2 linked regions of the Xenopus tropicalis genome follow. The protein of the gene in region 1 binds, or shares a complex with, the protein of each later gene. Links are inferred from orthologs where the notes say so. Each region holds a gene or a part of one and is shown in the gene's direction. Other genes may lie near its edges.

The links.
Region 2: the proteins of rab11fip2 (region 1) and rab25 are in contact, whole or in part, in a crystal structure (PDB 3TSO), measured with the Homo sapiens proteins. The link is inferred for Xenopus tropicalis from reciprocal best matches to the Homo sapiens genes RAB11FIP2 and RAB25. Residues at the interface, in NP_055719.1 of Homo sapiens: Arg475, Glu478, Ile481, Asp482, Asn483, Leu485, Val486, Met489, Pro493, Ser494, Leu496, Arg497, Val498, Pro499; in NP_065120.2 of Homo sapiens: Arg34, Ile45, Gly46, Val47, Glu48, Phe49, Ser50, Thr51, Lys62, Trp66, Arg73, Arg75, Ala76, Ile77, Ala80, Tyr81.

The regions. Positions count from the first base shown.
Region 1 is NC_030683.2:5,848,097-5,851,521, reverse strand, and holds the end of rab11fip2 (rab11 family-interacting protein 2), read left to right. Parts: intron 1-2,299; coding exon 2,300-2,527; 3' UTR 2,528-2,827; downstream 2,828-3,425. UniProt on the Homo sapiens protein: A Rab11 effector binding preferentially phosphatidylinositol 3,4,5-trisphosphate (PtdInsP3) and phosphatidic acid (PA) and acting in the regulation of the transport of vesicles from the endosomal recycling compartment (ERC) to the plasma membrane.
Region 2 is NC_030684.2:133,284,492-133,288,147, forward strand, and holds part of rab25 (ras-related protein Rab-25), read left to right. Parts: intron 1-1,905; coding exon 1,906-2,101; intron 2,102-3,656. UniProt on the Homo sapiens protein: The small GTPases Rab are key regulators of intracellular membrane trafficking, from the formation of transport vesicles to their fusion with membranes.

The DNA.
Region 1 (3,425 bases):
GTTTGGCCCTGGGGCCAAAGGATTGAATTCTAACGTCGGCAATGGGGCAGTCCAACCTGGCCAATCGATATCTGGCCAAAGATATTGGTCGGCTAGGCCCCTCGTTTCTGCCCCTACACGGGCTGAGAAGCTGCCGAATCGGTCCAAGGGACCCATATCGGCAGCTACAATCGGCCCGTGTATGGGGACCCAGATCTCAATTGGGCAGGTTTGATTTTCCCAGTGGATCAGGGACTGCGTTGGCTCATTGATCCGGACCTCTGTCCCACAGGCCATTTAGCCCCCCCCTGTCGCCCCCTATAGCGATCGCAACGCGTATAGCACCTTCAGTAAGAATAAATGGACACAATCTGCCACAACAGGGAGCACCCGTTTATGGTGTTACTACTCTGAGCAGCCATTGGGGGTTTTAGGGTTCATTTTGGAAAGATAAAAAGGGAAAGTAACTTTAAACAATTAGGACCAATTGCAGAGTTGCTTCGCCATGTTCCTTCTTCAGTGTACAAACTTGAATTTAATATTGAGCTTCGCCATTAGCTAATGAGAGTTATAGTTATCTAATGACGAAGCTCCAAAAAGGTTACAGGGTTTGCTGTAATAGTGGGCAGGGTCACGGGCCAGTCATACGTAAGTGGGAGTGGCCAGTTGTCCAGTTGTTTTTATTAACGAATACCCAGAAGAGATGTCTTTGTTACTAATCTCCATGGGGGTATTTATACACAATCTACACTTGAGCATATTTTCTCTGCAATACCGCGGGCTTCATCCAATGATAATGAACTCCCCAAACAATGCAATTACACAGCATTAGGACCTGATAATGGGCAGGAAGCTCCATTTAATGAAGGGGAGAATGTGTGCAATTATGTGCTCTCTGCCATGCTGATATATGGCATTCTCCAGAGTGTTAATAATATACACAGAGTAGCGCTGCGTTACTGCCCAGGGTCGAGGAATATACTCGGGAATTAGAGATAATTAATGATGAGTTCCTAAGAATCACTGTTCTGTACAGAATAAAGCTAGATATGTCAGATGCGCAGAATCCATTATTTTTCTGCTGAACACCGAAGCCTTTGTGAAAGATTTGGCCGAATACTGAACCGAATCTGCCTATGGAAATTAGGCTATGGAAGGGTTAAATAGAAACACATGCTTCAAATTTTTTGTTCATGTAACCAAGTCAGGTGATTTTAAGGATTCAGATTGTCCAGACCAGGCATCCTCAAACTAAGACCCAGCGGGCCGGATACGGGCCCCCCAAGGAATTTACCCAGCCCCCCACTATGATCTGATGCAAGGACGCAAGGGGGGAGCCAGAGGACGCAGAATGGAGCCAGAGGAGGGAGAGGGAGGATGCAAGGGGGGAGCCGGAGGAAGGAGAGGGAGGAAGCAAGGGGGGAGCAGGAGGATGCAGGGGGGAGCTGGAGGAGGGAGCGGGAGGACGCAGGGGGGAGCTGGAGGAGGGAGCGGGAGGAGGCAATGGGGGAGCGGGAGGATGCAAGGGGGGAGCGGGAGGGCGCAAGGGGGGAGCTGGAGGAGGGAGGGGGAGGGTGCAAGGGGGAGCGGGGGAGGGGTGCAAGGGGGGAGCTGGAGAAAGGAGAGGGAGGACGCAAGGGGGGAGCCAGAGGACACAGAAGGGAGCCAGAGGGAGGACGGAAGGGGGGAGCCAGAGGACGCAGATGGGAACCGAAGGAGGGATCGAGAGGACACCAGGGGGGAGCCAGAGGAGGGAGAGGGAGGATGCAGGGGGGAGCGGGCCATAGTATGAGGACACTGGGGGAGGACTTTAGTCCGGCCCCTCAACAATCTGAGGGACCATGAACTGGCCCCCTGCTTAAAAAGTTTGAGGACCCCTGGTCTAGACGCTTGTATTTAGCCAAATCTGAATCCTGCTGAAAAATCCTGCTGGATTCGGTGTATGCCTATAACAGAAATATAGGCTACTAAAAGGCTCTTATATTGAAGTCAGTAAGTTGCTGTTGAAAATTTTCTACTAGATACCTCCCATTTTTAAAATTAGAACATTTTTGTTGCTGTCCCCTCAGTCCATATAGACACTTTATCCATTGTTCTCCCACCACCTTTATGGTCACCCATATTGCCCAAAAGTACTGGGTGTGAAAAAGCAGAGAGGTCTTCTACTAAGGTTATGTTGAAAGAACACTAACTAGAGACATTAGCACATTCCTTGTTAATTGATATTTATCTCTGATGGTAAACAAAACTGTTCATTTTATTTCTACCTGTTTGTACCAAAAAACTTCCCCACCGTCACCCTCTGATTTGTACTTTTTAGGATTCGGGCCCCTTTGATGGCGCAGGGCTCTACAGTCACCTCACTCGCAACGAGGTGGAGCGGGAACTTTCCAAGCACAAGGAGCTTCTGAAGAGGAAGGACGGTCACATTCGAGAACTTGAGGATTACATTGATGACTTGTTGGTGCGGGTAATGGAGGAGACACCCAGCATCCTGCGTGTGCCTTACATACCCTCCAAGAAAGCCGGCAAATTCCCTCAGAGCTAATAAGTACCTGCCTACTGCCCACCTTGTCGTTCCTGCCTCTGATTGGTCGCTCGCCCAGTCTGAGACCTGCCTATATAGACTAATTAACGGTCTCCAGGCGTTTTAATGATTAAAAACAAAGTCATATTCTGAAATACTTTGGTGAAATGAAGTTTAAGAAAATGGTGCTTTCGAGACAACGTGAGTTATAGTGGCATTGGCAAAGTTCTGTGCCATTTCTTTTGTGAGATCTGATTTTAATTTTATTAAGTACAAAATGTACAGATGACTGTAAGAACCCTCTTTTTAAAAAAAAAAAAATATTGCGTTTACCCCCTCTGCCATGGTGAACTGTTGGGGGTCTCCGTAATCTGGCTGCTGGCTAGCAATAGGGAAACAGTACCTTTTTATTATGCTTGGCCCACATATTGTGGATCATCCATCTTAGACCATGCTCGGAGCTGTAGTCTCACAAGACGAGCCCTACGGGCAATACAGAGGTGTCAGTTCCCCTGTTGTGTTGGTTCTGTGTTCTAAAGAACCACAGCAAGCTGTTCTCCTGGGGTTGCCTCTGGGGTCAGCCATTGAATGGTGACGTTTTTTGAAGTTACCCATTCGTTCTTCTTACCTAGTACGCCCCTTTCTGCCTGGTAACAGGGTTACTTTTCTATTCCCTGGGTGGTTGGAGTACACAGTAACTTCACACTATATGGAGATGTGCTATGATGGATCTGCTTTCTTTATCCAAGAGGGGCAGAGATTCTGAACCCCTTTATAGCAGGACAATTCACCTATTAGGAACCTACACCTTGTGTTTCATAGGAGCTAAGGTATCCCAATCCTCACATACTTGTTTCACGGCAATAACATTCTGACCGACACTTCTAAACCCTCCTGCACCGGGTCTGTGTTTGCCATT
Region 2 (3,656 bases), on another chromosome or scaffold:
ACATCAGCTAGGGACCATGTCTACTTCAGCTAGGGACCATGTCTACATCAGCTAGGGACCATGTCTACTTCAGCTAGGGACCATGTCTACTTCAGCTAGGGACCATGTCTACATCAGCTAGGGACCATGTCTACTTCAGCTAGGGACCATGTCTACTTCAGCTAGGGACCATGTCTACATCAGCTAGGGACCATGTCTACTTCAGCTAGGGACCATGCCTGCTTCAGCTAGGGACCATGTCTACTTCAGCTAGGGACCATGCCTGCTTCAGCTAGGGACCATGTCTACTTCAGCTAGGGACCATGTCTACATCAGCTAGTGACCATGTCTACTTCAGCTAGGGACCATGTCTACTTCAGCTAGGGACCATGTCTACTTCAGCTAGGGACCATGTCTACTTCAGCTAGGGACCATGTCTACTTCAGCTAGGGACCATGTCTACTTCAGCTAGGGACCATGCCTACTTCAGCTAGGGACCATGTCTACTTCAGCTAGGGACCATGTCTACTTCAGCTAGGGACCATGTCTATTTCTTTACTGCCTGTCTTACTATATTGAACTGTAGGTGCTTGGGGGTTATTCTATCACCAATTTCCTGGGCCAATGGGGGCCCACCAATTACATGTTGCCCAGGGCCTACTGGTACCATAAAGCAGCCCTGACCAGTGTTAGCAGTGATAAGAGCAGCACTAATGACCCATGGGTTCTTTCTGATCTTCCCAAGCAACAGATGGTCTGTTGGCCAGAAAACCCATAGTTGTGGCCCTATACACTAGCCAATAAGATACTGACTCAAAACTGATGATAAAGTGTCTGTAGTTAGATTAAAGGGGCAGTGCACGCCCCAGTGAGGCGTCATGTTAGGTGATCACTGGGATTATCCCTGGGGTGTCTCCCAAGGATCGAGCATATAATTCTAGTCATAATGCTAATTCTGTATCCTACGACCTGAATTACTGGCTGTCATATTTAATCACATGATGTAGCCGTGCAATAAAGGGACTCTCAGCACCCAGAACTAAAAGGTTTATTACACAACCCAACCCTGTATTCTGCTGGCTAATTATACACCACCTCCATGCTAGAAAGCCTTACTGTGCATTTTAAACCCCAGTGAATCACTCATTATTGGGCTCTGTTGGTAGGAAATTCCATAACCTGACTGCCCTCTTTCCTGTGCTGATGGTGAAATCTCCTTTCCTCCAATCTCATGATGCCTAATGCATCACTGTACCAGATACATTTTCATATGACCCTTTTTAATATTTGTATATGTTGATAATATGTTGATAATGTTGATAATATATATAAATATATATATTTACATCCTTTCCCTTGAGCAATCATTTAGTGATGGGCTGTGTGCTCCCTCAGAGATCAGCTGACAGGAAGTGATGCAGCTCTAACTGTAACAGGAAGTAGTGTGGGAGCAAAAGGCAGAACTCTGTCCATTCATTGGCTGATGGGGCCTAGCATGTATGTGTGCCTTGGCTTGTTTGTGTGCACTGTGACTCCTATGATCCCAGGGGGCGGCCCTTAGTACCTAAAATGGCAGTTTCCTATTTAGGATTACCCCATGGCACATACTAATTAAAAAGTATAGTTTTATCAAAATGGTTTATTTATAGATGAAGCAGGGTTTTACATATGAGCTGCTTTATGTGATATGTTCTTATAGAGACTGTTCCATACATGTTAGCTTTACAGCTGCTATCTGACACTGAGTGCTATCTACTATTATTCCTGGATCCGTTTGCATTATTACATTACCTAAAAAGATACCTCTCTAGCTCTAATTAGGGTGTTTATTACCGTGACCAAAAGACACAAGTGTGACCTGAAGGATGAGGCCCAGGAGGTGCCATTTTGAAACTCATTGACCCTCTTTGCTGTTCTGATTGACAGTGGTTCTGATTGGAGAGTCCGGGGTGGGCAAAACCAACCTCCTCTCCAGGTTTACGAGGAACGAGTTCAACCACGACAGCCGCACCACCATTGGAGTGGAGTTCTCCACCCGCACGCTAACGATAGATGGGCACCTGGTGAAATCGCAGATCTGGGACACCGCTGGCTTGGAACGCTACAGAGCTATTACCTCTGCGTATGTATATATGGGAGAACATATTCCATCTGGTTACATGGCTTCACCACATAGGTTACTGAAGTGGTGCAAACTCTGCCTGTTACCATATATAAGGAGGAACATAGGAGAGTAATGGGTGCTCCATAGAGCAAGTGACAAGGTGTCCCCTTGCCCTTTCTAGGTTCTCAGGGTAAAGGGGGTTATGCTGTTTCATGGCCACCATGTACTCTAGGCCAGTACCCTAAACCAGATATTTGATAACTGATGCGAGCCAGGAGCACAGGAGTATCCCCCTTGAGGATGAGAAGGCCCAGTAATGGAAAGTTGCCCAGTTCATGGACTATGTTGACCCTATATGGAGATAAAAGGCAGAGTGGGGCAGTTTCCCCTACATTGTAACATTTGGTGTCCACTGTACCATAAAGAGCAATACTAATTGGTTTCAGGACCCCGGCAACGAATGGACCCTCTGTAGCTGTTCTACCTTTAGTACATTGTTGGTTGCCCACTGCCCTCAGCAGTATTAACATTCCTAGCCACTGAATGATTGCTCTGGACTACTGAATGGGATCTAAAGGTGGCCATACACTTTAAGATCTTCCGAATCTTCTCCCTGGGGCCAAACGATTGAATTATAATGACGGCAATGGGCACAGTCGCTTTGGGGACTGCACCAATGAGCCAATGTGGTCCCCAATCCGACTACATTTTTTAACCTGCCCGATCGATATCGGCCCGATTTCAGGCCAGATGTCGGGCATGCCAGTCGTTGCTGCCCCTACATGGGCTGATACAATCATCCCCTGTATGGCCACCTTAAGAATGCTCCTGTCACTTTGTAGTCCCTAAAGCATTGTTTTTGGATTTGATTCAAGCCCTACTTTGAGATGCAACCTTCGGCTCATTTGTAACCTTTATCCCAAAACTAGGTTAAGTACAGTATATATATATATATATATATATATATAAGACATTGTCAGCCATATTTCTAATATCTTAGACAGCAAAGAAGGCCAGAACCCTGTATCCCCACCCACCTACACTTCCCTGGCTAGAACCTGATGAAGCTCAGGAAGAGGAATATCACTCAATGGGGCTGGAGATTTGGAGAACTTATTTGCTGTCCAAGATATTCCTAGAATATCCATATCCATAGTTCTAAGAATATCTTGGACAGCAAATAAGTTCTCCAAATCTCTAGCCCCACTGAATGGCATTCCTGTTGGTACATTATGTTCTGGCCATGGGAGCGTAGGTGAGTGGCCTGGTTACCATCAGAATGTGGTGTTCATCTTCCTTTTGTCCTTATGGATCACCTGAAAGATCATTAAACTGACTGTAAGAAGAGAGTTTGCTTGGGGTTGGCTGTGTTTATATAAAACAATTGAGGTCAGTTATGAGTGGAATGTGGCCTTACCCTTCCACAGTCTTTATTCAGCGGCCACGCCTCAGGAAATATTAGGCCTCCGTTACGCAAACTGACTTTCCTTTCAACCTAAGCTTACGGTCCATTGGCAGTTGTAAGGAGTGTTCAATATGGGCGTGGGCCGTAAGATAAACATCAGCTATCAAT